2 linked regions of the Lytechinus pictus genome follow. The protein of the gene in region 1 purifies or fractionates together with the protein of each later gene. This does not show direct contact. Links are inferred from orthologs where the notes say so. Each region holds a gene or a part of one and is shown on either strand. Other genes may lie near its edges. The genes, in order: PHD finger protein 12-like and GATA zinc finger domain-containing protein 1-like.

Region 1 (16,339 bases):
ATTCAGTCTTTATCTTTTTCAACAATTTTTTTCCAGCTAAACTTAAATTGTTCATAGACCTAGATCTGCTAATAGGACTATAACCTCTCCCTCCCTTTCCACTCCCTCCAAAAATCTTGAAGGTGGGATAGAATTGGTATTGGCTTAAAATGACATAGAAATGTTATGCATGTTCAGTAAAAAAATGAATAAATTGATAGAAATGCAAAAGAACATTAAATGCATGAATTACTCTTGATATGGTATCTTCATGTTTTACTTTTAATAATGATTTAAGTAGGACTGAAAATCGCACTGAAATTCACAGTTACATTTCAGATCATGCCCATAGGCTTAGGATTAGGATAGGATGTTCAATATCACATGCACATTTGCATCTAAGCATGACCTTTAGGCCTATATTTCACACTGAAATACACCCCCAAAACTAGGATCAGCAACTTTATTACACTTGAATTCAGATGCACTGTGTGTCTTACTTTGACTTGACAAAGTAGACTTAATAGGAGCTAATGGAGTGTCCGTATACACATCTACATGTAAGCTGCAGGTCTATAATTGGAAAGTTATGCATACACTCAAACTAGTATATAGTGTACATGTGAGCACTAAATGTATGTTACATGTGGGCAATTCCACATACATGTATGGGCTTTGCACTTCAGACAGGTGAATGCACCACACTTTGAATTAACAGTATTCAAACAGAACTTTTTGCTGTTCACCTATAAATGTACATGCAACTGAATATTAAATGTGTCTGATGAACTCAACAAGAAATGTTTGAATTCTGTAAATTTGAAAAGGTGAACTGAATGTCATTCCCTCAAGCTGGAATTTTTCCTTTTGCTTTTTACATACATGTACTAGTGCCATGTACAGTATATAAATACATGTACAGTATCTTGCTGTTTAGAGCTGTATTTAAGTGAATTTTTTAATTAGTGATTTCACCTCTTTTCATAGGCTACATGTACCGGAAGCTGGAGAGTTGCTTTCCTACTGACATTAAAATGTTTGTGATGCTACATGTACATGTAAGGCTTGCAAAGTTTTGATGATAAAGCACTATGAAATCGTGCTGTTAGGGACCATTGTAAATCAAGTCTCCATCATCGCCAGATTGGCAGGGGTTTGTTTGTAAACTTCATGAATTTGTGAACTATCAGCAGTGCAGTATGTAGCAACAATAACGGTCCAACTTGTTGACGCTGTGACTGTGAAACGAAAGGACATGTACCTCAGGATCAGTTTAGTGGACTTGTCTAAGCTAGCAACTGAACTTCGTCTTTAAAAACCCATCGAGCTATTATGTTTCATGTTACATAGATCCATGTGAGCATCTACTTAAAAAGGCTACAACTTTTTGATGGGGTATGCTTAAAAGCAGGAAAACACTCTAATGACGTTGTGGTTGCTGAAGTACACATCTATGTATATTACAAAATTTGATATTTGGATATATCTGTCAAATTTGTGTGTAAATATACTATGTACAGTATGACAGAAATTTTGATACCAATTGGGTTGCTGTATATTTTTTAAATATACATATATTATATTAAAGAAGGCCCCCACATTTATGATTAACCTTCCATTCTTATGGTGACTGGTGCTAAATTGCCAAAGACTCATGGAGTCTAGATGGAGATTATTATTTTCATTTTTGAAATGCAGGATTGTCAATGATATCTGAACAAGTATAAAACTCAAATGTGAGTTGAGTCAAGCTCGTAAATCTGGCACTTTATTTTTATTTAGGCCTTCATGCAGAGGGAAGGTAAATCGCACTAGGCTCAGTTGTGGACTCATCAGCCTAGGTACTAAAAGATAGTGCAATGTGATAATATTTACAACGCTTCATTTCTTTAATATTTCTTAAAATTTATTTTTCCCTTTGATGTCTCCACCTGAGCTGTGAAGCTACATGTAATACTGATACATGTACATGTAGTGCATATGCATGTGAGAAATGAGCAAAGGCATTTTGATTTTAGACACTGCTTTCGTTCAGTCTTGTCTGCCAAGTTTCAGCATTGTAGAGCTAGCCACCTGTCTGTATAGATTATACCACTGGGCCATTTCATGGCGAGTGGGTACATGATGTAGTGAAAGACATGCGGTTTGACTTTATATTAAGTTAAGAATTGTCAGGAGTCTTCAATTCAAGACCTAATGTTAAAGAAAATGTCTGTCCTAGGAGCTACATGTATATTTGGATTCTGCTTTGTATGAGTGAGATTTCCTTTGAAGTTTGTCTGTGTCATACAGATATTTTTTCTTTTGTAGCAATAATGTTTGATGTTAGTTTATGACATTGTAGGTACATGTAATGTAGATTAATATGCTTTTTAACTGAAAGATACAGACTGCTAACAATCTCCAATGTCAATTAAAATGTGCATCTATGACCATGGCCTTTGATGGCTTGTGATAGATTTGAGCATTGGGAATAACAATTTGTATTGAACCCAATTGAAATGTTTGAGGGTTATTTTGCAATTGACAAGGATTTTCTTTTATATCACCGGTATAAGGGTATAGTGAGTTACTTGTTTTCAAATGCAGAAAAGAATCATAACCTTTTTCATAAGGATCACTATGACTATCCATACACTGTGCCTACATGTACATGGAGCTCAGCATACTTCATGCATTGTAATTTTATTTTGATGTTCATTTCTTGACCTATCACTCATGGAACATTCTGCAATCCACAGGCATGCACTTATGTACACAACAGTAAATTTAGGCCTAAAGTGTACATGGATTGCTTCCCTGTGATGAAATGTAAAGAGTGAACTCAAGTCCAATTATGTAGGGGAAATGGGTGTCAGCCTGGCTGACTAGTATTTTATCATTCCCTCCGAAAGTGGACAAACTGGGGTACATGTAGTTGGATTGATCAATGGGTAATGCTATGTATGTACGGTCAAAATTGAGCATTATTAAGAATCTTATCTCAAAATCAGTTGCTCTAGCTGCATTTACCCAAGAGTTACAGCAGGTACAGCATGAATCGTTATTAATATGCATCCATCTAAGATTGTTTTCAATTTATAATCAAACAAATTGTTTGTTAATCGGCCCACTTTATATGTATTGCATAGGGTTTCATGAGTTCACAATTTTTTGAAATGGCCAGATCCTCCAGACAAGATAATGTTTGTTAGCTTGGTTGAAAGTTGTTGACATGAAGAAAAGAGAAGGCAAAATACATGTAATTGAGTACATGTACATACCTGTAGAAGTCTCATTTGATAAAGATAAATCCTTTGTATTTCACCATTATGCATGTAAGTATGTAGTGTGTAATTTCTCTTTCAACAACTGAAAATAAATGACCAATGCACAGTGAAAATTTTATCAGAATTAACATGGTACATGTAGAAATAATACATGTATCACTTTAGCATGGTTATGGTATGAATTGTGTCTGACAAATTTTACACAGAAATTGAGCTCAGTTTGCCTGAAACTGTACTAGCAGACACCTGCACACATGCTAGAAATGTTTGTACATGAATTATACAGGCCAAGAGACTAAACATTTACCAGGGAGGGATTCATTCTCAAACTGAGCATCAAGTATACCGATTCATTGACAGCACTACTGTCACCACATAATGTCCTATGTGTTGAATTGACTCTGTCTTTAGAGTAGATTATCTTACTGTGAATTTGGGGTAAATCCAGGGCTCTATAGGGGGGGGGGGGGTTACAGTGTAATATTGGCACCATAAATTTTCAATATCTTTAATATATAAGGGCCCTTTTAACTTTTTTTTCTTTGGTGTTGTGTTTTTATGTTCCCCAGGTAGAAAATGTGATGGATTTTATATCCATACATTTATTTAAAGCATCCATCATTTTTAAAGTTCATTACATCTGGCTTCTTCACTTGTATAAATATCTAGCCTTTAAGACGTACTTTTAGGCATACTCAGTAGTAATGTGCTTATACCAGTTTATGATATCATACGTAGATAAATGCAAACAAAACATGACAGTCATTAATTAAACATTAGGTCTATCATTACATGTAATTTGGTATTTGATGACTGAGCAATGCAGATAATCATATATGATGAGGCTTGTGAATCAATTGAAATATAGGTGAATGTTGTTGTTTCTTGTTCAATGATAGCAAATAGTATGGTGGGTACATGTACATGTAGTTTCAAAGATATTAAAGGCTCAAGTTAACGTTACAGACATGTAATTAAAAAAAAACAAAGGAGAGATCAAATATGTACATAGATGCCTTTCTATCAATCTAAAAACTCTGAAACCAACAAAAAATCTAAAGAAATGCTTTTGATACCTTATAATAAAAGATTTTTTGTGTAATTTATATCGTACCGATAATAATAGAACACATAAGTGTATGTGATGAAATTAAGATGGTGTTTCCGGTCACTTTATGTTTCACTTTTTTTGAAGCACTAAATGATTATTTTCGGACACAATTTTTTTCTGAGCTTCATTGTTGTAACATATCACAGTCAGACACAGGTGAAAAGTGGGACCTTTAAATACATAAAAAATTGATGCATTCCACCTGTTCGGGGGGGGGGGGGTGATCCAAAGGACCTGTTTTATCCTTCCCTATTTTGCTGGTAAGTACTCTTCACTATTGAAATCAACAGTAGACCTACATGTACATGTATTCCCTTATGTACATATATAGGCAATAAAGATTAAAATATAAAGTTTAGCCATGTTTAACAGGCATTAGCATGTATTTACAACAGTGTTATGTACAGTATATCAGCTTGAGTGATAAAAGTGCATACTAAAATTTGAATGAGTGTCATGCAATATGTCTAGTTGTGTGCCACAACTTTGAATCTCACTGCAAGATAATACCCAGCTTACCAGCGATGTACATCATGCTGAACAACTTGGAGGCTCGTCATCATACTGGATGTATGAATGGGTAGTCAGCAACATTTCCCTTGGAGAAGGGATGTCTATCGGTCTTAATCAACAATCTATTCCTCCTGCCAGCTCAAAATTCTTTTTATATTAGAAATGGAAAAGGATTATTTTGACTGTAGTAATTGAGGCTTTAAACCGTCAGTGACTCAGCGAACGATATAAGTTGCACTGGGAAAAGGATCTACATGTATGTGGCTTTGAGAGGAAGTTCTGCTGTTAGTAGACTGACTCCAGTCTTCTTTTGCTACTTGAAGCACCAGAGTTTTAAAGAATTGATGGGTATGTGGTTGACAGGGGAGAGGGGAGTTTTTCCCCCTTCATCTTCTTCTTCAGGGCTAGGATAGAAAGTGCAGATCCATTGATGAATTCAATGAGTTTGAGGATAATTACTTGTCTGTTTTTAATGATTTTCTTATTCAAACTTGTTATGTTTTCTCTGAGGCTACCATACTTCTGTAATTGTATTTGAATCTTTTGAATTGTTGGTTATTTTACCAGAGCCCAGGGTGCTACATAACTTTTAGAAGCACTTGCCCTGTTGGGCAAGTAAATTTTTAAATAGTTGGAGTATACTTGCCCAAAGAAATCCTTGAAAGAAAAAAGTGTTACCTCTTCAAAAGAAAGTATTGCGGTTTTATAAACCATTGACCTTTTTTTCTCTTTTGACATGAACTGATGTACCCTGTTATTGCATTTCTTTTTCCATAGTGATTTTAATACCCGTCATGATCAAATTTAGGGTCAATAAATCGTATCGACCCTTAGTTTGGTCATTCTACTCTGAGAATTTTGCTTGCCCAATTCAGGCAAGTGGTGTTGGTCTTCACTTCAAAACACTTGCCTGACTCTTAACTTTTACTTGCCCCGGGCAATCAGGCAAGTGCTTATGTAGCACCCTGCATAGCCAAATGATTATTAATATAACAATTATTTCCCCAAAAGCAAGGAAAGGAGGAAAAATTTGAAAGTAATTAATCTGTGTTTCTGGAATGAAAAATGTAGTGTAGGGTGGCATGATTTTGTATTGCATTCAGATCAGGGGAGCGTTTCATGAAAGGACTTGTCAACGTTTTATCCGACAAGTCCCATTTTATCCGACAGTTACCATAGTAAAAGTACCTCTCAGCCAATCAACATCAGAGAAAGATGTCAGATCTGACAACTTGTCGGATGAAAATGTTATTGAAACACTCCGCAGAACTCAAAAAAATCTTGTCAGTTTTTGTCTCACCTGCATATCAGAGTAAGACTAGGTGCCGCATTCCGACGGCGGCAGCATCAATATAATTAAAAAGTATATGGACCTAGTTCATGAAACTTGGACACAAGGGTGATCAAATATTACTGAACATCTTACCCGAGTTTCAAGTCACATGACTAAGGTCAAAGGTCATTTAGGGTCAAAGAACTTTGGCTAAGTTGGGGTATTTGCTGAATTATCATCATAACTTTGAAAGTTTATGGATCTGATTCATAAAACTTGGACCTAAGAGTAATCAAGTATCACTAAACATCTTGTGCGAGTTTCAGGTCACATGACCAAGGTCAAAGGTCATTAAGGTCAATGAACTTTGGCCATGTTGGAGGTAATTATTAAATTGCTGTCATAACTTTCAAAGTTTATGGATATAGTTTATGAATTGTGGACATAGGGGTAATCAAGTATCACTGACAAGTCTTAGGTCACATGGTCAAGGTCAAATGTCATTTAGGGTCAATGAATGTAGTATTGTGTCAACATCAAAACTTAACCGAAGGTTAAGTTTATTGAATGACAGCATAACTTAGAAAGTATATGGACCTAGTTCATGAAACCTGGACATAAGGTTAATCAAGTATTACTAAATATCCTGTCCGAGTTTCAGGTCACATGACTAAAGTCAAAGGTCATTTAGGGTCAATAAACTAAGACCATGTTGGGGGAGTCAAAATCTATAAGGTTAAGTTTTTGAAATGTCATCATAACTTAAAAAGTATATGAACTTAGTTCATGAAACCTGGACATATGGGTAATCAAGTATTACTGAACATCCTGTGCGAGTTTCAGGTCATATGACCAGGTCAAAGGTCATTTAGGGTCAATGAACTTTGGCCAAGTTGGGGGTATTTGTTGAATTACCATCATAACTTTGAAAGTTTATGGATCTGATTCATAGCACTTACACGTAAGAGTAATCAAGTATCATTATACATTCTGTGCAAGTTTCAGGTAAACATGACCAAGGTCAAAGGCCATTTAAGGTCAATGAACTTTGGCCATGTTGGAGGTAATTATTAAATTGCTGTCATAACTTTCAAAGTTTATGGATATAGTTTATGAATTGTGGACATAAGGGATAATCAAGTATCACTGACAAGTCTTAGGTCACATGATCAAGGTCAAATGCCATTTAGGGTCAATGATCCTAGTATTGTATCATTATATGAACTATGTTTTTTGTGAATAATTATTTATAGTAGTTTTCAAAGTCAGCATAGCTGCTATATTGAATCGTGTAATGCAAGTGAGACTGCCAGAGTCGCTCCACTTGTCTCTGATTTGAAACTGCAAATCTAGTGCTTAATCATATTTTGCTGTAAAATGATTCTGCAATAAAATTATTCATTCTCTCTTTTTGTTGGTGGTCACCTTTGTCAAGTGATGTTCCCCTTTAACACATTTATTTGCATTTGTTTATCTACTGGACAAAAACACTTTAATGGTCTGCATTTGTACCTTTATTAACAATGATGTACATGTATACTAGTCAGTAGTTATGTACAATGTACATGTATTTTACCTTGTTTTGATGTAGATAATTTTGAAGAGTGTCCTGACTTTTCTTGATGACAATAACACAGAAAACATTGAACATGAATCATACTGTACATGCACTGTATGTACCAAACTTGCACAATGTAATGCAGCATTGGTCTATTGTGCAGTTTTGAGCTGAGTACATTTTCAGTGGATATTACAGAAGGTCATTTGGAGCTTTAGCAGGGTCAATGATATTGTTAGCCTTGTACAACCAGTCTTTCGGTCAGATTCTATTTCATATAGTCATATTTCATATATTTCATATATATTTCATGCATGTTTCATGAACATTTATCCTCAAAGTTTGCTGAATTGTTGTTTACCAGACTTTATAAAAAACATTTACATATACAGAATACAATAGGCAAAAGATGAAAGACAGACGTGGAATACTTTTTATAGACCTAAAGAAGTCCTCTTTGCTGTTATGATGTCTGTAGGGCCTATACTTTTACACGATCTCCTCTGAGGCAATCAAACTTAGTTTATTATTATTCCATTTGGGGGGAAATTGCATAAATTTTTGTTTCACATACATGTAATCTGTTGAAGTCCTATTCAAGCGCCAGCTTTTACTTTCTCACTTGAAGCAAAGTCCCTTCACTCTCCTAAATATTTTTGTAATATGAGCATTGAGCAGCTATATTTAATAAACTATTTCATACAGAAGTATTTGGATGTTGACAATTATATTATTAATTTACATTTATTTTCTGCTCTATGAAGTGTTGAACAGTCTTCAAAATGTATTGAATATTGCTCTTACAATGTTTGATCATTTTCTTTTCTATAAATTGAACTTAAAACTATATGATTTTGAAAAAAAAGAAGTCTTCCTCTTGACATTAATGTAGAGAGTTTGACATAATGCATGCATTATTATGGTACTCTGAAAGCCAGTACTTCATGCAAGGCCTTGTGATCAGTTCTTGTATTATGAAGGTTTTTTTCTTTTTGCACAACAGTTTATCCTTGTACCCCATTTGTGAAAGTGAATTTTAAATGAACATAACAGGACTTGCATTGCCATTGAATTATTTATATTTAATTTTCATATCCTGGAAAATCAGTGTTTTATTAAACCTGTGTAATTATAGATTTACTTGAAGAGGATCTTGGAAATCTGTACAAATCACATTAATGGTGAATTTGTTACATTTGCTAACTAATAGGTAAGGATTCTCTCTCCATTTCTCTTCCTACAGTAACCCTCCTATATCAGAAGAGGATCTACCCTCAGGAGAATGGTTGTGTCACAGATGCACAGTAGCACCGCAGGTAAGATTGAATATCATGGAACAAACCATTTTGCATTTATGGGGGTGTGGTATGCTGGGAGCTGAGTTGAGATAGGAAGCTTTCCTTGAAGCATCTTGTCATTTTTCAGTGACAAATTTTCTCTCACCCTATCAGATTTGAAAATGTTAAAAGCTAAATTTGTTAGTGTACATGTAAATCAGTGAAAAATTTTATGAAAAACTTGTCTTGGCATGACCATTTATCATTGCATGACATATGTGCATTCAATTATGTTAAACTCCTTTGGATGCCATGGTGAAAAGTAGAGGTTTCCTCCCAAAGGTTAAAGCTTGTGTTTCTCAGTACAGTTACAGTACACATTCTCCTATATTCCCTTTATAATCTAATAGTTACAATGGAGAAATATAGATCATTTGAATTAGGGCAGTACTATATCTCTGCTACGTTCATCCATTTCTATTTGATGGTGAACTCAACCTAGATACAGTAAAGGGAAATCAATTACTTTTTCTGGTCTACTATAGTAGTAATTGTAGCAAACTATGCAATGTGAATTACATGAAACAGATCCTTAGGTGGACATATGATTGTGATAAATTATGCATTCACTGTTGACAAAGCAAGAAATGTCAAAGATCATTCTGTCTTACTATTTTTCAATTTGGTCTCTTGTTTCACTGGAAATTCTCTACAAATTTCTGATGAATAATGAAATAGTGTAAATATCAGGCATTCTGAGCGGCTTTCATACAGACTCATCAGAAAAGGAAGTTTTTACTCTGCTACAGGTTAACCTACTTTTAATATTAGATGTTTGAACAAACATTTCATTGTTAACCCATAATTTTTGTGGGATTTCATTTCGAGGTTTTGTATTTGTGATGTCCTTTGTGAGCTGCTCTCTTTTTATGGCACATACATGAAATTGTTTTTTTTAATGATTTATTTTCGCAAATACATTTAGACTTGCAAGTCCAGGTAGTTGATAGCTACATGTACTCATTCCAATCATTTGAAGGACATGGAATATATAATGTTTGTATAGATTTCTGTTAGAATAGATTAACTGACATTAAAATTGTCAAGTATTTGTTACAAAGACGGTTACTCAACGAAAGTGACCATGATCCTATATGTAGTACTTGTATATGAACCTATCCCTTCAGGGTAAGGGGACAGGGAAATATTGAGCCTTATTTGGAGACTATCCATGGGGTATTGAAACTCGTACCTTTTAGAAATTAAAGGTCAATAGAATCAAAAGAACTTGCCTCTAGAATAGGTGACCTTTTCATGAATTTTTTTTTTTTAATTTAACATATGGCTTCATTCTTTTTTTTCTCTCTCTCTCTGCACCCCTCTCTCTTTGAAATTAATTATGTATTGTCAACTACCATAGCACAATGCAACTTTTAGGGAATAGGTGCAGAAGATTATTACACGTTTATCTATATTCTGGAGCCTCAAGATTGAACCTTTATTTTCAGCTCAGTCTTAACTTTAGCTCAATGTTAACTGTAACCTTAATTCTAATCTTGTTCTTACCCTACTCCTAATGCTTGCTTCTGGTACCAAGTATACTTGTCAATGTGGTGACTGCCATAATAGCTACTTAAAGGTTTTCTCAGGTACATCATTGAGTTGACTTCATTGCTTTCTTCCTTTTACCATGAAGCCATTGAACACTGAGGTCACACTCTCTGACACTATCAAGTCTATTGAGAAGGCGCAACGCTCTGAGAGAGAGAAGAAGCAGAAGGAGGTTGCTGCTGCTGCCAAGGAGAAGGAGAGAGCTGCCTCCACCTCCCTCCGGCTGAATGATCGACTGAACGACAGACTCATGAGAGAAGGAAGGGCATGTTTGCGGCTGGCTCAGATCCAGGCCTACAAGTAAGCCTTCATTACCATAATTCACAAATGAGTTTTAGCCTACGAAACCCTCTCCTTGTTTTATCCGAGCATAGTGTGAATTGCCCATGTGCGCACATACATGAAATATCTGATTGGATCATATGCAGTGTGTGAGTATGCATACAAAACTGAAGTTGGGGTATGAACCTCCTTTGTGAATTTTGGTCAGAAGAGAATTGGATGAAAATTTGTATGTCCTAGTTTCATTTGTAAATGGTCATATCCATTAATTTCCTTATTCCTTGAAGTAAGGCATCCACAAAATCGCCCTTTTGTTGAATTTAATTATAAGATTGGGTAAAGGATAAATGAATAAGATTAAAAATTATAATTCAATATCACAAAGCCAACAGTCCTGTATGGAATTCTGTAATGCAGGCAAGACTCCCAGAGGCGTTGCTTTTTTTAATATATTTATTTTCATTATTACATTTTTCTATTCCATAACTCTTTTTAAAAAAGATCAAATTAACCGGTAATTATTTTCAGTCCGTAATTTGTAGTGAGAACATATTTCTTTATGTGAAAGATGGATAATTTGAGGCTGCATTGTATTTCCAGTAAATCCAGTCAACTTAATGGCAACCCCCAGTGCTCCAATCTATTTTGAATTATCATTTTGTCAAAAGGTAGAATTCATTCTCTGATATATGATTTACTCTTTCTCCAGGGAGGCACAGATAGAGGCTGGGATAATACCAAAGGAAATGCCAGAAGAGGGAGATACCAATCGGACGGAGGGAACAGAAGAAGAAAAGATGGATGTTGACAAGGCAAAGGATTTAGTGGAGGTGGCTGAAGAAAAGAAAGACAAGGAGGAAGAGGAGGTTTATGTCAGGTTTGAGAATCCTCTAAGCTACCTCATCAAAGCTGTAGCCATTCAGAATCCGAAGCAGTTCTCTCTCCCTCCAGAGATGATGCAACATGCACCCCTACCAGGTAATTTGGGATGGCCCCTCTGTCATTTCATATTGTACAATACATTGAATGTGAGATTGTCTAAAGATTAATAAAAAACAAAACAGTATTCAAATCAAAACCTAGTTTCCTTTTTTAGAGGGAGGGGGGGGGGGAATAAAAAAAGCCCATCTATAGCTACTGATAATGTCTGAAAATTCAGGAGCCCTTTAAAAAATCCATTATTTGTCCTTATTCCTAGGCTTTACAAGTTGCAAGTTCCTGAGAGAAATACTGTAATTAATGTGCAAATTTTCTTTTGTAAAACTATATCACATACAGTGTATTCTCAGCTCTCCTTGTCATGATTTTATTTCTTTTTATGCTCAGGGACAACTAAGAAGAAGAAAAAAGAGGAACTATCCAAGAACTACAAGAAGCCTCATGAGCTAGATAATATGATGATCCCCCTACCTGCTAAAGTCTGCTTCACATGTAACAAGTAAGTTCTACTTGGTAAAAGCAGCAAAAATTGTATTGGTCTTTTTTTTAATTTACAGTGAGTGGTATAATTATGACGGATGTGGCCTATTCTTAATTTCATGTCAATTTTAGCTTTTCATATGCCATCTGTTTAAACATCTGGATTTAAATTGATTTAATTTTGAGATCTGAACATAAATCTTACCATAAAATCTTTCTTTTATTTAATATCCCTACCAGAGGCAATATATGCAAATGGTAACTGAAATGTCTTGCTTTACTTTTTCTTTTCTACTCTTTTTTCTATTCTCTCTCTCTTACACCCTCACTCTCTTGGCGCACACACTCTTTCTGTCTTTCTCTCTGTATCTCTTCACTACTCTGCCTGTCTCTGTCATTGTTAACTCTACACGATATTCTTAATATTTCATCTTAGACTTCCAAAGTAGTTTTGTTCTTAACAGAATCAAGTTTTGTGTGCAATGCAAAGTTGGCATTTATTCAGATAAAGACTTGCTGGTTTACTGCTTTGGGAGAGTTACATGTAAATGAAAACAAACAAATCATTTCCTGAATACCAGGTCATGGAAGTAGGGTTGTTCAAAGCAGTTCACACTCATGCAAAATTACGGTTCAGATGATGGTCATGATGAGTGTAAACATTGTATGCTTTGAAAAATAACCAATGTTGGCTCTTAGATACCTTATAACCGAAACATCATTTTGTCTCATCAATGAAGTGCTCACAAACCAACACTTAAAACTTTTTTTTTTTGGTACTTACATGTATTCTAATCTTGCTTGTGTTTTATGTAATGTGTGCTAGAGATCATGCCATGGCAGTTTACTTCTCACATGTACATTCTATGTACTTGATTCAAAATTCAAAATTAGTGTTTGTTTAAATGTACCTTGGTAATTTTGGGGAAAATGCTGATGAGCCGACCCTGGCTTGGCTTCTTTGGAAATAAATTTTCTACATGTATCATGAAAACATAAAAGAATTTATATTGTAATATTTGTGTAAGAATTCATAAACTGAGTATTTGTGTTAGTTTGAATAAAAGTAAGCTGTGGTTTGCCCAAAGCAGGAAGGATGTACATGCTTGTCTAACTTTTTCAGTGTCATGCAAGAAAGTCCCTATTACTATGTACTATCAAAATCAGTTGAGACCTTCTAATGGGAACCGTACCACTTGTCAGATGAAATAACAACCTGACTACTCTATTACTGGAAAAGATTTACATGTACTTTTACTGACTTTGTTGAAGCTTGTTGTGAATATGTATGATTAGATTGCCATTTTATGCCATCCTTGTACCAAAAAAAAAATGATTAAGGCACATGAAACCTAGCATTCCATAGAAGTATGCTCTACATTTTCACTTTAATCTGGACCTACATCTGGATTCACTCATCAGAATACCACCTTTATTTGTTTCATTAACTCATAATCCTATTGAAATGACAACTCTGTATATTCTTTATTTAATGATTTTGTTGTTGGATGCCTGTAAGAGTGTATGAAAACGTTTATTTCCTATGACTGTATGATATTTCTACATCAATTTCTTTCAAGATGACATTGATACATTCATTTAGTGCAGAATTTTTCACTCAATCATTTTGTCTATTATTTATTTGTACTTCAGAACATGTCGTGTAGCACCCCTTCTCCAATGTGACTACTGCCCTCTGCTGTTCCATAGAGACTGCCTGAATCCCCCTATTACATCCTTACCTACTGGCAGGTGGATGTGCCCCAATCATCCAGAATATGCATTGGTAAGTAATAGAGATGAGATACATTGAGGGGTTCCTGGTAGGGTGTTTGTGTAGTGCTGATTTTGACACCAGTCACAGCACTGTCAATAACATGAAGCTGGTGCCTGGAAGTGACTGCATGAGGTGTTAAGCTGTGATTAGTATGATTTTTTTTGTTAACCCAAATCCACCGTGGAGCTAGGTTAGGCAAACTGATTCATAATCTTGACACCAACGTATAACGTGAAGCCCTTTCACTGAATCACAATGTGTTGGGCTATCAATAATGTGATTAGTATCATTTTGATATCCACATTCGATGTTGAAGTTAGGTTAGGCATTTTTTTAATTGCTCTCAATATCAACACTATACCAAATTTGAAATCATCCATTGTGTTGAGTGTTGATTTTTACGCTTAGCTGAGCGTTGGGAGAAACTACAATGAACAGTTTAAGTAGTTATTATAAGGTTTCAAAAAGAAGTTTGGACATGCCTTTGATGATGCTTTAATATTGTATCTATCATGCAAAAATATGTTATTCTTGTTCTTAGTGTAGTGTTAAATAAATTATATTTCTAGTATTGAATTTGATGAATATTAGTCATTCATGACGTCTCTATGGAAGAAAGCAATGATAATAATTGTTAATTTACTTATCACAACTTGCATTCACATAGATTTTTGTAGTTGCTTCACAAAACATTCCTGGTCCGTATAATCCTTGTTTTTGCTTTGAATACCATGATAATTTCGGAAATTGTGTCAATGTTATATCTGTTAAAGAATTAACGGTATGATTTTAAAAACCTATGATCTTACAGCCAGCATTCTACATGTAGATTGCAGGTGATACATACAGTGGTTCTAAAAAGTTAGTGAACCCCTCCAGAAAATAAACATATTTTAAAGTGTTCAAATTCTGCCATCTTTTAGATATTTAATTGTGAAGTCAGGTGATGTAGTTTGTTTCTCTGGGCTCGCCGAATGTTGTAGCATTGTTGTCTACGTTCAACACTCAGCACAAAGGAATGCATTTTCTGGTGGGGTTCACTAACTTTTTAGCACCACTGTACATTATACAAAATGTTTAATACACTGCTTAACATTGTTATAATCCCTCTGTTTATTGTTTACCCTGTCAACATTATGCAAATATAAAATTGCATGTGAAGGAAAACAAGAAATTGATAGTCTTAATGACCTTGACCTTACAGCCAGAATTCCAGAATGGCGGTCACACAGAACGAGTGAAGATCTTCAACCAATTCCAGGGCAAGGTAGACCAGCAAGCTGTCAAACTCCAGTTCATCAACAAAATCCATAGATCTGGACCTCCATGGAAAGAGAAATGTAAATGGCGCAAGACAATCAAGGTGAGGCATCACTGCCACTCGTATTGATATTTAGATACCATCCTGGACTAGAGATCCCCAAATACATTAAATGGGAGAAGGGTGTGGCAGTCTACAGTGACATGAATTACACTTATCTTCATAATAGACATGGGCATGGCAAGCTAAATTATATTCAGATCATCCTCAAACTTCAATTAAGCATGGCATGACAAAGGTTAGCTAATTAAGTTTAGTTATCAGAATAGTTTTCAGACATATCGCCTTGATCTTCATCAACTAATGCTTTTTATATGAGAGATTACCTTTGGTAACAACTAAAACTCTTCCATTTCCTACCAGGTACCTGGAGCCATCAAGAATCAATATGCACTGCCTCCTCCATTACTCCCCCTCTGCCATGAGCGCCCCCCTCCTATGATAGGCCCAGTGGATGAAGTCAAGAAACCTGGTCCTCTAACTCAGCAGGAAGAACAAGAAGAGGTCTGTATTTGTCTTCTTTCTTTTAAAATCACTCATTTTGAAATAGTAAGTTGTTTAGTAACTTGGTAGTTTTCTTTTCTTTCAAGAGGGAATGGGTGGCCCATAACACAAAGGGTTTTGTGATGGATTGCAAATCTGAAAGAACAGTTCTTGTTCCTGCTCAGTATTTCTAACAAAACAATAAGTAAGAGCCAATAAGAATGGTTCTTTCAATCAGTCAAACCTGCATTGGCTACCACCTGTATAAAAGGACCACTTGTTTATAAAGACCATAAATTTTGTTTCCTTTAATTTTCCTTTTAAAACATGTATTGAAGGAACCTGTGTCCAAAGAGCATGTGCTCATAAAGACCACTTTTCTTGTCTCTTTTGGCATCATTAAAAATGTTGATCTGACTTGGACCCCATTTACACATGGGCTGGTTTCATGGAGTCGGCCTCACGC
Region 2 (16,696 bases), on another chromosome or scaffold:
TTTACACACTAATGTTGTGTATTTTTGGAATATTATTATTGGAAGGAATCTTGAAAAAAAAATGAGACCATAGATGATAAACAATCAGTCACAATGATATAGCCTCTATCTTGAAATATGTATACCTTTTTTCCAAATAAAACACACAGAACTAAGATTACTACTTGTAAACTAGAACTGCAGTGATTTATTATATTCTAAATATGCACAGTTTATGCAATAGAAATGTCAAATCATAGACTGATTCTTCAATCCATGGCCTAATTGACAGTGACCATTATACAATCAAAGTTGGCTAATATGAAGAGAAATTCAATATTAATCTGAGGACAATGAGTCACATGTGAGTGAATTCACTAAATAACTGATAAATGTCCATTTCTTGATAGGTCCATGTTCATATAAAAGCTCAAACCTTCCTTTATTTGGAAGTTATCCACATGGAATATTTTACAACATATTTCTACAAGGTTCAAGGTTGATGATTCTCATTTTGAGTTCTGAGCAGATAGAATCTCCATTTGTGACAATAATCACTCCTGATTTACTTGCCATGCTTGATAGGAGCTCATCAGTTAAAATTTGAAGAGCTCCTGCTTGTTATTGCTATGTTTAAGAAACTGCTGCCATTTTTTTTTGCGATATGACTTTTTTGCCGAGATATAGTCATCCAGATGAAGATATTGAAGGCAGAAATGGGTGATTTTTCATGACTTGAGAAATTGTCCAGACATCTATCTCTTGATTGTGGTGATTTTTTTACCTGATTGCTAAGAAAGCATGAATGCTTGTAGGCAAGCAACCAGAAGACCGACGGCTTAAGGTCCTCTTCGAAGGACCTGGTAATGAGGATTAATGCCTTACCAAAGGGCACTAGCGCACCAAGTGGGAATCGAACCCGGGTCACCGGAATACGAATCCTCCGCTCTACCGACTGAGCTATCGCGCCTCTTGTCTGGCATGATAAAAAAGCCTGTCTAATGAATCACGTTTAACTAGATCTTTGTGTTTGTTGGTTTGCAGACTTTTTTAGCCTGGTAGTTGAACTGTGTTACCTTTATTCTTGGTAAAAAGAGTTCTTATTACCTTTTATTTCTTAGTCATTTCATGATACCAAATATTTCTACATCATCAAATTTCATGAAGAAGTTATTGGTGATTATAACTTAGTTTTCATTTGACTCTTATGTTCCCATTTCTCTTATGTTTGCCATTTAAATTTATTTTTTTAAAGGGGAATGAATCCTTTTCAAAATCTGCAAATTTCATATGAATATCTTGTGGTTGCATATGAAGAATGAAGGATTCTGTTTCGGTTGGACCAAAATGCATAGTCTCTTTGTCACTTAAACATGACATTGATGCTGAACAAGTTACAAATCTAGATCTTTTTGTAATTATAGTCGAAGGATGGCCCGTCCCAGCAGTGCAAGACCTGCCCCTCCAAAGCTCAAGAAACAAGATTCTACTGAAGATACTTCAAGGTGAGATATTATAATAATAATAATGCTAGAGTTCTTAATTTGCATAACACCTACCGTTCTGTATGCATGGGGAAAGCGAGAAATGTGGTTAGAATTGTAAATTTAAAAATCAGACATCAAATAATTATTCATAACATCAAAAAATATTAAACATGGATTGAACCTACATGTAACTAAGTTAAACATTCTGAAAGAGGTGGGTTTTTAACTGTACTTTGAATTTCTCAAGCTGGGTAATATTTCGTAAAGTCGGTGGTAGAGAATTCCATTGTGCTGGTGCAGCTTTTTGGAAAGCCCGATCCCCATATGATTTGGTCTTGACAGTAATTTCAGAGAGAAGATTTTGTGAGCCAGAATGGAGATTTCGCTTGGGTTTATGAATTTGGACAAGTTCTTGAAGATAGCAGGGGCAATACCATGAATACATTTGAATGTTAATATGAGAAGTTTATATTTCATCCTTGATTGAATGGGAAGCCAATGAAGGTCAGATAAGATAGGGGTTGTGTTCAAACTTTCCTTTTTGAGTTATAAGTTGCAGCAGAATTTTGGAAATGTTGTAATTTATCAAGAAGTGATTCCTGTATTCCGAATAGTAAACTATTATTATTATCTAAGTGACTTAAGATGAAGGTATGTACTAACTTTTCTGTTTTCCTATCAAGATATTTTCTCATTTTCCCAATTATTCATGGTTGCATTTCAAATCAGACATTTGTTTATATGTCTGTGAGAGAAGAAAAACTTGTTATTTCAAAATATGTATATGATTGTACATATTTCTATCACCCAAACTGCATATACTGACTGCAGTTGACATATTTGTCTTTGTTCTTTTCAGTATATCCAAATTGTATATATTTAAAGAAATGAACTTAATTTTGATAGTGATAATGGGGCACTACTTTCCTCATATTGATTTATTAGTATTTTTTAATTAATGACAGGTTTATATTATCAGTAATTATATGTAATAAAAATTATCAAGATATCTATAACTTCTGTATTTTTGCTCTTTTGTCATTCTTCTCTTTGTACAGGATCGGAAGTGGTAAGCAGGTATCTAATGTGATTGTTGATAATGGTCATAATTCAGATGATGAAGATGACATATTTGTAGTAGAGGATACTCAGCAATCTATGGAAGATGAGCCAAGGGTAAGATATTTTATTCATGATTGAAATCTACATCTGTTTTACACCACAAAAATCCATCTTATTGACAGAAAGCTAACTGGTCAGAGAGGGAGAGAGAAAAAACTTTTAAGATACTTAATGGAATCTCCCCCCCCCCATTGCTCAAATATGCAAGCTTTCTGATTAAAAAGACAGTCAATGTATTAGATGGTTTGGATTATGCTTTGTTGCTGTATTATTATTATTTTTTTCATGACTAGCTGAACTGTCTTATATTGCATTGATAAAGTATATACAGCATTGTTGATTTTTATTCATGATTGATAATCTAAATTCTGGTCTAAGGTTCTGTTTTTAAGTTGAACTATTCAACTATGAATAGCCAATTGTGGCACATCTCTATCAGTACTGGTTCAATCTATCAATTCACTGTACACTAAAATCAAAACTTTCTCGGAAATTTTCTTCATAATTTTAGTATCAAGAAACAAAAAAGCAAAGATAATGAATATACAATGTAAGCAAAATATTGATGTTTTCAGCTTCTTATGATTTTTGCACAGAGTTAGACCATGGTCTAAATTAAACCAAAATAAGGGTCCTTGTGTGATAACAAATGTGATATGATTTTGTTGCAGCCCCAAGCAAGTGAGTCTATGGAAGATGATGGTGAACATGGAGGCCTTGTTAAGAAGATCTTAGAAACCAAGAAAGAGCTTGAAGGATCACAAAATAAGGAAGATGTAAGTTACTATGTTCTTCTTTAATCAGTTTATTAAAAGCATGGGAATTCATATATTAATGTTATTTTAAACAAGGTGAAGCATGCAAACGTGAAGTTCAAATTATCTTAAACTTTAAATCTCACATCTTGCCATTTAAATGTCTTTATTTGGAAATATAATTTGAAAACAAGCAAGTAATTTGATATTACCATCTTTAATATGTAGGTTGTGATTGAGAATGTTTAACATCCTCTTTAGATGATATATCATTTTTGTTGTAGCTTTTAATGAACATTTTATCTGTTATGTAATTGCGTATGGACAGAATTAGTTTTCAGTCAAAGTTTGTGACAGCATTACATCTTGTTGTTATGATTGCGATAGTGAAACTGATGTATCTACATGTATGTGTTTTGTTTTGATCACAGGATAAGCCTGTGGTGTTGGATCCTGCCAGACGTAAAGAACGTGAGCTAGTCCAGCGTGAAGTAGAGAAGCTCCGCAGTGCTATACAGACCTTGACCCGAAGTGCCAATCCTCTAGGAAAGATCATGGACTATCTCCAGGAAGATGTAGATAGCATGCAGAAGGAACTGGAGATGTGGCAGAGAGAGAATAAAGAACATGGTCTAGCAATCAAACGTGAACAGGGGTAAGAACCTTGCTATCATGTTTATAGGGAGTTTGGTAACCGAAGGTTCAAATGCTGTTATCACAGCCACAGTACACTCTTCCATTATGTTAACATACATGTTCCCAATGTTCACATTGTGTCAGTATTTTTATGTGAAATTACATTTAACAACGAAATAGTCAATATGAATTTCCAAAGAAATTTCAGGTGATTGATATCAGTCATTTTTGTTGATTATTATTCTGCTGCAAGAGCACTGCATGGTCTAGGAGATGTGTCATGCAAACTAACTTGCCCAACTGATCACTGCTAGTAAGTGCACTACTGTAAAATTTTCTCAGATAGAATAGCACCCATAATTTATGTGTGCACTATTATAGTAGAAACCTGGAAAATACTTAATTGCCCCATACATTTTCTTTGTTAATTTCTATAACTTCTGTATGTATTTATGGATATATTCTTTAACAGGATTACAGACAATGAGTTAGAACCTCTTCAAGCCCAGCTAGCCCAGCTTGACCAAGCAATAGATGACCAAGTAGACACCATTGCTGCAGTCAAAGCAAATATCCTGAGGAATGAGGAAAAGATAGGAAAGATGGTTAATAGTATAGCATTTACAAGATGAGTCATTTCAGTCATACCAACTTCTCAATCAAGCATATTTAATTTTATCATTTTGAATATAAGATTTAATCTACAATTCATCTTAATATACTTCAAGTTATTGTTCCTTAATTTGACCACTTATCACCTGACCATGGATGAAGTTTTTTTTTTCCATTGGGTTGACTAAGTTATTTTTCATTCATACTGAATCATCCCATGGCCCTTGATTGATACAATCACAATCATTTGCATGTAAGCTAGTGGTCAAGAATAAAGTTCATGTAAAGCTACTTCCATATAATAATAAAGTCAAATGATACAGCTAGGTATGGTAACCACATTCACTTCAATTTCTGGAGATGCTAGTAGCTACTAGCAAACTCCAGAAATGGCACTTTAATGTCATATCAAGTGTTAGCTGAAGAAAGAGTCCATAGCATTTTTACAACCATTTTGAAATCAAGCAAACTTTTTTTCTCATCTTAATGCATTCAGTCTGCATATAACTCAATTGAGTTAATGTTAAAATACAGTATTCAGAGAATTTTGCTGAAACATCCCACCACGAATCCCAATTGTGTCATGATTGATGGCCATCTATGATACTGCAGATCTTTACCCTGGAGTTTGACAGGATAGAATAAGCCAAGTACTCTCATTGTGATTGTCATTGGAGATTATCAAAATCACTGAATATCATTTCAAATGCCATTGAGAAGCATAAAGTGCTATGTTATTGTAAAATATATATGTTATTGTCTGGTGTAATATATTTCTCACATGAATAGTTTTTTATATGTATATTTCTTAAGAATATATTAATGGATCTTACCACAATGAATATTTAAGTGCACTAAAGTCTGCCAGGTTTTGTCTCCATTAATATAGGTGATTTTGTCAGCTTTGTTTACATGATTTGAAAAAAAGAAGTTTCCTTGTCAAATTTAGCATCATGATCAGCTGCTTTGCATGACAACAATTCTGTTAGTACAATGTACAGTGCATGTAAGAACTATTTTCAAAAGCATCTCGTATAACTAATATGGTGAAGTTTACAAACAAAATATAATTATCTTTAAGATCTTGTAAAATTCACTTTCGAGTGTAATTTGCATTCTTAGACCATTTCAAAAATAGGGGAATAAAAAGAATTTGCTTTTTTCATTTCTTATCGGAATACATTTGTGTGTGTGTGTGATTATTTAAATGTAATGATTGTTTACAGAATATTTGTTATTGTATTACAGAATAATAACAAGACATACTATCGTAGTTTTTTGCTTGATAATCAAACTGGCCTTCTACATATGTTTGTAATGAAGGAAGATTTTATCAAGGATTTCTTTCCTATTTTCTTCTGTAAAACAATTGCTCAAAATTGAAAAAATACTGATGGTCGTGTTAATGGACTTAAAATGGTACAATTGCAATGAAATAATAGAATGGCTTAACATAAAAGGTATCCGGTTTTAGTTTCTCAACAGAGTAGGCAAACAAGATTTTTGTTAGTTAAAATGTAAAACAGATTATGAATAGATGTATAAGTAATTGTCATTGTCACAAAAATCTATTGTGAATTATCATTCAAACTGGTCAATGTGTTAATATTGGGTCATTGATGCACCTAGGAGTACATATATATTATAGTACTGTTGGTGGTCACATGGTTAAGTCAAAGGTCATTTTAGGTCATACATTAGTTTACCTTGGAAAACTTTCTGAATTTTATTCGCTGATTACATTATAGTTGAGGGGACTATGAATTTTCAGAAGTAGGCAAGACACAGTGTAGCTAATGTTTGGTTTTGAAAGAGAATTTTACAATATGACTGACATCACATTTATTACCGTCCTTGATAAATGCCTGGGTTCTAAAAAATTAATTTGAAAAACAATACAAATAATATAGAGTGAGCATTGCATGTTGAAACCGATAATCAATATTTTCTTGGGTCTGTTGCGTAAAAGAAAAACTCTGGCAAACTTTTTGCCCAGAGTTTTTAATGTGTAAGTTTCAATGGCATAATTTTGTTTGCCAGAGTTTTTTTTTAATGGCGAAAGTTTTATGCTACTTCACAATTCATGTAAGTTGTAAGGTATACTCTTTGTATTGAATTTCACTCCTTGAATATTTAAAACATTCATGAAGCATAGTACATGCAATGATAAGCTTAATATTAGCATGTTGGTACGATTCATTATACTTGTACAAAGTCAGTTGTAGTACTCATTAACCTCTGTTCAGCCAACCATATTAAAAGCTTGTGATTATATGGGAATGATCACACTATTTACGTTTTATATGAGCTTTATCACCTTGAGGGTTATGTAGTGTGATGTTGAGATTACATGTATATTTCACATCTCCTGGTTTCATTCATTGTAATCACTTTTAGATCCTTTCACTGTATGAGATTGTGCAGTCAAGTGTGATTTGTCATTAAAAGTTGTCACATCTACTTTTATTTAATTGTAAAGGAATTTGGTTGTCGTTGATCCATAGGTTTCCCTGTATGCTAATGTATGAAGCATGTTTGACTGAAACACAACTCTTTGGTATCACTTTTTTATGATTAAGGTTGAAACATTCCACTCTCCCTCCATATGGGATTTATGTTCACATGTCTGTTGATTGATATACATAAAAATTATGTTAGAGCTTATTTATAACATGATGAAGTTATTCCCAGGTAATGCTACAAAAGTAGAAAAGTTCCTACAAAAAGTTCCTACTTCTGTATGCTAGAACTTGTAATTGTGAAATTTATTATCAATATTTAAGTGGATTTTGTTGTAGAAACTGGATTACTATTATTATTTACATGGATTAAATGCTAATCTCTTCAATATTACTACAAGAAGAAAGTTGAATAATGTGCTACCTAGCAGTGACTTCAGAATGTTCTGATCAGGCAAAGCGTGGGAGGCCAGGGCGACCCATTGTGTGTAAACAATGGTTTGAACCCTGCCCCGCCCGGACCATGCCCATCTCTTGTCTGAGCTGAAGGTTCCAGCTGCTACCTTGGAATAATTGCTGACATCGCACGATGTACTTCCTGATGGGTTATTAAGATTTCATATTCGGCAGAAACTCACAAACTGGTTTATTTACTAAGTGATACAAATGAAAGCAGTCAAACTCAAAATAAGTTTCTTTAAATGTATCTTTATTGAACTGTAATATCTGAAGAAAAACTTATTTTCTCTGTGTATATACTGTGAATACTTTCAAAACTGTAGATATATTATAGCTGATAATAAAGTGAATTGTGTCTTGTGTGAATATAGCTATTTTGATTTTTGCTTCATATCAAGTTTCCTTGTGTGTATTTTGATCATTTAAGAATTGAGAACTAAATTAATGAAATATACCAATCTAATAAGTAATTTACAAAACAGAAAAATATATATTTATAAAAGTTCCACCAAAGTGCTTTCACTTGTTTTTTCTGGAGTCCAAGAAAGGACATGTCTCTTTGAGGCATGTAAATCTTCTACAAACTTTTATACTTTTTTAGCATTAGGGGCATGCTTAGAGAATCTAAAGCTGCAAAAAAGTAAAAGGATATAACAACCATAGATGTTATTGTAACAAAGAAAGTACTCTCTCTGTGTATAAAGAAAGTGATATAATTGTCATTAATTTTATACAATTGTTTTAAGCTTTTAATATTAGTTATGTAGTGTTGAGTGAGAGTAGAAAAATGGGAGATTCGTTGAGGAATAAGCCTTGTTGCATTTGAAGGAGTGTATGCTTTCTACTCCTTGTGCGATGTTATTTAATTTATTTTTCTCAGCACTCTGTCTCTCTCATTACAAATACTAAATCATTCCTATCGTTTCCTCCCCCATATTATTTTCATATTTGGTCTGACATTGCCTTTGTCATGATGTTTTACTTTACATTCTGCATTTTATATCTTTTAAACCACATTTATATGTTTCATGCATCGCCTTTGTATTTTGTGCTCGAAGTTACAGCCATTTGGCTGCCACAGGTGCAATACTGATTTAAAAGGAATTCTACCCACCCCCAAAAAAAGTTTGAACAAAAGGAGAGATATCAAACTGTCATAATACTGCAAATTTCATATTAAAAAAAGGGTTGTTCTTTAAGACAGTTTATTTTTTAGATAACTGTTGTGTGCAAAAATGCAGTCATATGCAAATGAGTCATCAATCTTTTATTGGGAAACCCTTTAATTGCAACTAAGGGAACAATAACATCACCCACTCACTATTTTTTTCAAATTTTGAAGAAATAGTGAGTGGGTGATGTCATTGTTCCCTTAGTTGCATGCCAACCAGGATGAACATATTACTAATTTTGTTGTCTCATTTTTACATCTCAAATTTGATGACATTTTCTCAATTATAAGCTTGTGTTGACTTTTCACTTTATTCAAATAAACTTTAGTTTCTAAAAAATGAAGAAAAAAACCCAAAAGATTCAGCCAACAGCACGTATCTGATTTTTCTTCGTTACTGTGAAGTAGCTATGAAAGAGTTACACAAATTATAGCTTGATCAAAAGACGGGGAGGGGAAATTATGGGTGACAATAAAATGCATATGCCGTAAGGGGCGCTAAGCGACTGATCGTTTCGACGGAGTTTGGTCGCAGAAATAATTCGTTGAGTTTGGTCAATCCTGCAGGCGAGCCCGGACCGGTCCCATCTGTACATTTCTGCGTACAGTACACATTCTGAATGCGAAGTGAGCCGAGTCTGCATGCCTACCGTACATACGGTCTACACTCAATCAAAAGAGACAAAATGTCACTTGGACCTAAAACATACTGCTCTTCCTGCAAGACGTCGGTGACATGTATGTGGAGGAAAAAGAAGTCGGGCTCAGTAATCTGTAATGGTTGTTATGTAAAGAATAACAATAGCGACGATTCTCAGAATAATTCTTCAGCAAATGGCAATGGAAACGGCCACGGGAAATCGAGTGGAAATGGAGCTGGAGGAGGAAAAAGCCAAGGAGGAAGGAAGTCGGGAAGGCCGGCCAAGAGGATGCGTTACAAGCAGATCGTCAATGCGGCAAAATCTCAGTCAACTAAAGGAAAGAATAGGCGAATCATATTCAAGAGAAATGTAAGCAAACACTCAGTTACATAGTCATGATAGGATGGGGGGTTGGGTGTCCGGACACGTAACAGAAATGAAGCCTTGTTTTTATCTCAGGAATAAACCAAAAATATAGGTTGAATAGTTTTTTTTCACCATCAATATTTGTTCTTTACAATATTTTCTTATATTCTGTGCTAAAAAGAATTAAAGACATTGCTTGTAAACTTTTCAAAATTGAGAGTAAAAGTCATGTGTCCGGACACCCAACCCGTCCGGACACACAACCACTGGGTATACTAGTCTTATTAATAATGCGCCGGTACCATATCCATCATAAAAAGATGCTCATGGCGCAATAAAGTCAAAAGAAAGTAAAGCCTTAAGGAAAAAGAAAAAGAAAGGAAGATAGAAAACCTGAGGGGGCGACTAATTAATTACCTAGTAAAACTAAAAGCTTGTGTGAATAACCAGGTTTTCAGAGAACTTTTGAAAGTGGTGAGATAAAAAACATTCACATTGCCATGATTGCCGATTTCTTTTGGAAGTTTTATTCCATAGCCATAGGAATGGCCCAGCATGTTGAAATGATCGATCCCCCCCATTAATTATGAGATTGTGGTACAGCAAGTAAGGATGAACTAGAAGACTTACCTGTACATGTAATGTAAGGTTGCGAGAGGGATTGTAAGGAGTAGTAAATCAAGGAAGAGTTGTATTGTGGTGCAGTTCCGTGTATTGAATGGAAAACAAGTAGGAGCATTTAAAAGTTATGCGCTGTATGATGGGGTGACCATAATTTGCGCACATTTTGAAAATTATCATGAAGTTGATTTTCAATCAATAGTTTCTCACAGCTCACACAAACTTAATCAAAACCATTAATACCAAACGGAAGGCAAGATCCCAAAGTCCAATTCGCTTGACGGAATTATAAAGTAGGTCAACGGTTTCGCTGGTATCACGATCTCAAAATTCCATCGCGATCGACTAGTAGTATCCCGTAATTAGTAACCAACTGGAATAAAATTATTGGAAATGGTTTTTTGACTGATTTGAGTAGGTATGGGTGTCAACATTTACCAAAAAAAAGTTAGAAGGAATATGGGTTGGGGAAAGTGCTTTTTTTCAAGGTCAAAGGTCAATGACCTTTTTAAATATACTGTATCATGGTATCTCCCAGATAAAATATTACAGGTTGGTGATCATGGTGTCAAAATGCACAGATTCGTACAAGAAGATCAAATAAAATAAAATCAAGTACCTACAATGCTCATTCACCCATGAAATTCAAGGTCAAAGCCCTTCAAAGTTCAATGACCTTTATTACATTATATACCATATACGGTATAATGGTATCTCTGAGATGAAAAGGTGTAGGTTGGTGATCTAGGTGTCAAAATGCAGAGGTTCTTACAGGAAGATCAAATAAAATCAAATTAATTACCAGAATGCACATTAAACAATAAATTTCAAGGTCAAAGCCTTTCAAAGGTCAATGACCTTTTTTCTACATCATATACCATATACGGTATAATGCTATCTCTCAGATGAAAAGGCGCAGGTTGGTGATCTTGGTGTCAAAATGCACAGATTCTTACAAGAAGATCAAATGAAATCAAATCAAGTACCTACAATGCTCATTCACCAAATGAATGAAATTCAAGGTCAAAGCTTTCAAAGCTCAATGACTTTTTTTTACATTGTATACCATACGGTATAATGGTATCTCTGACATGAAAAGGTGCAGGTTGGTGATCTTGGTGTCAAAATGCAGAGGTTCTTACAGGAAGATCAAATAAAATAGAATTAATTACCCAGAATGCATATTAAACTATAAAATTCAAGGTAAAAGCCTTTCAAAGGTCAATGACCTTTTTTACATTATGTATCACACTGTATAATAGTATCTCTGAGATGAAACGGCACAGGTTGGTGATCGTTGTATCAAAATTCCCAGATTCTTACAGGAAGGTCAAATAAGATAAAATTAATCACCTAGAATGCATACTAACCCATAAAGTTCAAGGTCAAAGGTCAGTGACCTTTTTACATAGGCTATATATCGTATAAAGGTATCTCTGAGATAAAACGCTGCATGTTGGTGATTTTGATGTCAAAAAGCAATTTTTGCAAGAAGATAAAAAAGACTCAAAATAATCCAATATCCAAAGTCAAAGGTCAAAAGTTGATAAATATTTATATATCCATGCATGATTCCCCCAAAAAAGAAATTTATCCATTATATTCACATTTTATTTGTGAATAATAGAAAGAAAGATAACTATTTGTAATGAACACTTGGAAGTCTAATAATTTCACTCTGAAAGAAATAAGGATAAAAAATGGCCATGGAAAATATATTTAGGAGTTAAAGGTCAATCAACTATGTCAATAGCGTCAGGGAATTTAAGTAAATAGGTCGATATAACGTGATTGTGGCATGTAGGTATAGTGATTCTGATGGGAAAAAGACTGACCTGCGTGGAAAAAGAACACAAATTTAATAGTTGAATCCTTGACCAATGATGATGTCAAAATACAAGTTCGAGGTAAAATTTGATCAAATAGCACTTTTTCTTATAATATACTGTAATGCATTGACAAAAGTGTAAAAAAAATAATGTGTGATATAATTTGAAATGGTGACAATGGTGAAGTTACCTAAAGTAGCAGCATTTAGATATGCATTCTATAAATCTAAATCAAGGTACTAATTTCTCTGTAGCAATAGGTCACTAACCTCAAATGCTACAATCAATACTATAACGCTATAACTTAATCTGTAAATGGAAAGGATAGGCCTAAGTCTTATGGCAAGCATCATCCGAGAACATTTTCATATAGCCAGGGACAATGACGAAGAATTAAAATAAGGCAATCATTAGAGCTGCAGCTTTTTTGTCATAGATGAAGTTAAGTGTCTCAACTTCAGCAAAGAGTAATTGAACTCTTGAAAACCTTCTGACATTTTCAAGACTTTGATCTGGCCCATTCAATGAAAGCCTAACGTTCTGTCAAGGGATATCAGACCAGGATCTATATTATTACTGATAATTGCACAGCTTGATTCTCAAGAACTGGAAGTGGTGCTGTAGGAGTTTTGTTAGGTCGATGGATGTGTACTTGTAAGCTATCATCTCCTTTTGAACTTCATTGTTATATGCCTAATTTGTGCATGATAATAATCAGTTGTTCTGGACCAAAACATGATCCTTGTACAAACTGATACCTAGTAGAAATAGCATCATGGGTGACGTACGGCAGAGAGCAGATATGAAGTTTTGTCTTGCAGCATTAGCATCACAAGAGATTCTGCCAGCTCGCAATGAACTGATGAAAGGTACTAATAATAAGGGAATTCACCTTTGTTGAAGTTGATATATATATAATTTACTACATGTATATGACAGAAGCTGCAGCTCTAATGATGGCCTTCATTTCATCATCATCATCATCCCTCTGCTGTTTGGAAATGCTCTCAGATGATGCTAGCTGTGACATGAGAGTTAGACCTGTCCTATCCATTTTCAGAAGATTAAGCTAATAGTTTATAGTATTTATTATAGCATTGAGGTGAGTGGCCTATCGCTGGAGAGAAAAGACACGACAACCTTGATTTAGATATAATGATGCATTAAATGCTGCTACTTAAGATAAAAATCATTTCAAATTATATACTTGATTTCATTTATTTTTTCAGTGCTTTTGGCAATGCATCGCAGTATATGAAAAAGTGTTATTTGGTTATCAACTTTTTTAACTTAATTTCCACTGATATTTTGGAAAGGGCTCATTGACCTCTGACCCCTAAATACATTCTCCATGGCCTTCATTATTTCAGACCGAAATTATGAAACCTCCATGTTTTCATTACAAATTAGCCATGGTTATTAACATTATTCAGATATAAAATATGAACACAAAAGATATTGTTTTTGGTTAATTTTATATCATATAGATTATATATTTCCTCTGATCTAGGATTTCAAGGGTGAAAGTTTATTCTTTATACTTATTTTAGTGTTGTTTAATCTTCTTGTACAAGTCTTTTGATTTTGGCACCAAGATCACCATTCTGCGGTGTTTTATCTCAGAGATACCATTATTATTATTATCTAATGTTAAAAAGGACATTGACCTTTGTCCTTGAATTTTATGGGTGAATGTGCATTCTCGATGCTTAATTTTATTTTATCTTCCTGTAAGAATATGCGTGTTTTGACACAAAGAACACCAACCTGCACCGTTTTATCTTAGAGATACAATTATATAATATGGTATATGTAGTATAAAAGGTCATTGACCTTTGGCCTTAAATTTTATGCGTGAATGTGCATTCTAGGTACTTAATTTTATTCCATTTGATCTTCTGGTAAGAATCTGTGCATTTTGACACCATGATCACCAACCTGTGCTTTTTCATCGCAGGGATACCATTATACAGTATGGTATATAATGTAAATAGGTCATTGACCTTTGAAAAGCTTTGACCTTGAATTTTATTGGTGAATGTGCATTCTAGGTACTTAAGTTTATTTTATTTGATCTTCTTGTAAGAATCTGTACATTTTGACAACATGATCACCAGCATGTACCTTATCATCTCAGAGATACCATTATACGGTATGGTATATAATGTAAAAAAGGTCATTGACCTTTTGAAAGGCTTTGACCTTGAATTTGATAGGTGAATGTGCATTCTAGGTCATTAATTTTATTCTATTTGATATTCTGGTAAGAATTTGTGCATTTGGACACCATTATCACCAACCTGCGCCTTTCCATCTCAGAGATACCATTATACAGTATGTACGAAAAGGTCATTGACCTTTGACCTTGAAAAAAAGCACTTTCCCCAACCCGTATTCCTCCTAACTTTTTTTTGGTAAATGTTGACACCCATACCTACTCAAATCAGTCAAAAAACCATTTCCAATAATTTTATTCCAGATTGGCTCTTTTGGGGTCTAATTTAGGGATACTATAGTGCGCGCTCGGCTGAAAAAGTGTCATAAAAAAGTGTGACCTTAATTTGCGCACAATTGTTTTGCAAGGATTTAGAAAAGAAATCAAGCAGACAAAGGTAAGATAATTATATCAGATGGAGGTTAAAATGCCATGAATTCGGTTGGTACCACATTTTACTTATTTGGAGAGCTCTGCTTGCAAACTGGCGATTACTTGATGCTTGTCGAGAAGATCGAATTTTCTCGGAGCGGACGCAAAACGGTGACAAAATTTGCCGATGTTTTGCCAATATTTTCACAAATAGAGACCTTACCTTCAAGAAAATTACCATTCTACGTAATTTGAAGTCGCTCTTTCTGTTGGTGATATCAGTTTTTCAAGATATTAATTATAAATTGAGATATTCAACCGTGCGCAAAATTAGGTAACGCGCGAATTAAGGTCACACCACCATACAACAGCCAACAGGTAACCAGTGAAGGACTAGTATAGGGGTTATGACCTCTTTAGTCTTGGGGGACATGGTGACTTTACGGGCAGCATTATGTCGGAGTTTCCCAAGGCGATCTAACTGAGATTGTGAAACATGCTAAATCATTGCAAAAATCAAGACGGGATGTAATAAGTGCTTAAAAATGAAAAGATTTGAAAAAGTAATTAGGCTAGCATTGGCTAGTTAAAGTCAAATTTAAAAAAAGCTCCACTAGCCACACAGATAATTTCTTATAAGTTATAGATCTAGGTCTAATGTTAGACTCTAGACCTTAATATCGCAAATAGTTTTACGCAAAGGATCATGGGATAAAAAAGGGAGCAATAGCGCCGCTATTGTTCAGATGCGACCATGCGAATGTTAGCAGCCGACAATATTGTGATTTGTGTACGATTTCCATAGCGCATCAAAATACGATTGACACCTGCAGCCAACATTTTGCTTCAAGTAAACGCCTCGTCATGTCAGAGTCCAACATCACTTTTCTTGATTATGGGTGGCAGAGATAGATGTGCTGTCTATTTTAGCTGCAAGAATTACCACAGATTTCACGAAGACTAGTGCAATTTTATTTCATTTTGCGCACTGTCTGTGCATATTTTGAGCTGTGCAGCTGTGATTGCACTGTGCAAAGTGCGCTTGCACGGACTGCGGGCACTCTCTGCCCAGGGACAGTGTACGCCTGTGAGGTGGAGCTGGAGGAAAGTCCTGGAATTCCAAGGAAAATAATCAAATGAATGAAATGATGATCAATAAAGCATATCTGCAGTAGATTTGATTTCTTTATTTTGTATATCAATCGATTGTCAAGAATACATGTTTTATGAATAATTGTCTCTAGCATGATTTTATTCAGATAACGTAACTATGTTTTCTTTTTCTCTCCACTGATACATAATTATTGCATACATGTACAGTAATTTAGGATCATGGCTGGACATTCTGAAGTTATATTAGTGGCCTGGCCCCAATATTTTATAATAAGTACTGCAAAGACAAAATAATGATAATTTTTACCCTTTTTACACAGGATTTTCTTAACCCCGGACTATCGCTAACCCCGTACTATCCTTAACCCCGTACTATTTTTTTTCCTTTTTACACATGCCAAATTGTTATTGCTAACCCCGGATAAGGAATGCTTGCTTTTCACACACGAAACTCGCTAACCCCGGACTAGTGGTTTTTGTCGATCATTCGTAGTACAAGTACTTCACTCGTACCATTTTACACACGCTACAATTTCCTTAACCCCGTACTATAGGTGGGGCCAAATTGCCATTTAGCCCCACCTATAGTACGGGGTTAAGCTTAGCCCACTTTCGTTTTACACTAGCGATCTTAACCCCGTACTATCGCTCTTAGCACCGCAATTGCTGGGATAACCCTGCTTTTTTGCAGGGCCAAATAATCCCGTACTAAAGGTGGGGTTAGCCCACTTTGCAAAAATGCTGTGTAAAAAGAAAGTGGGCTAAGCTTAACCCCGTACTATAGGTGGGGCTAAATGGCAATTTAGCCCCACCTATAGTACGGGGTTAAGGAAATTTTAGCGTGTGTAAAAAGGGTATT

Evidence for each region.
Region 2: the proteins of PHD finger protein 12-like (region 1) and GATA zinc finger domain-containing protein 1-like purify together in Homo sapiens (affinity purification with mass spectrometry; 7 studies listed by BioGRID and IntAct, with this or other methods). This does not show direct contact. The link is inferred for Lytechinus pictus from reciprocal best matches to the Homo sapiens genes PHF12 and GATAD1.

Annotation. Positions count from the first base shown.
Region 1 is NC_087246.1:12,133,017-12,149,355, forward strand, and holds the start of PHD finger protein 12-like, read left to right. Parts: upstream 1-7,524; 5' UTR 7,525-9,019; intron 9,020-10,676; 5' UTR 10,677-10,841; coding exon 10,842-10,891; intron 10,892-11,582; coding exon 11,583-11,851; intron 11,852-12,199; coding exon 12,200-12,311; intron 12,312-13,945; coding exon 13,946-14,078; intron 14,079-15,273; coding exon 15,274-15,432; intron 15,433-15,753; coding exon 15,754-15,894; intron 15,895-16,339.
Region 2 is NC_087247.1:57,321,185-57,337,880, forward strand, and holds the start of GATA zinc finger domain-containing protein 1-like, read left to right. Parts: upstream 1-9,200; 5' UTR 9,201-9,300; coding exon 9,301-9,690; intron 9,691-16,696. Other genes in the region: TRAF3-interacting protein 1-like, read left to right, coding at 1,404-1,484, 2,525-2,642, 3,260-3,364, 3,775-3,998, 4,452-4,611. UniProt on the Homo sapiens protein: Component of some chromatin complex recruited to chromatin sites methylated 'Lys-4' of histone H3 (H3K4me), with a preference for trimethylated form (H3K4me3).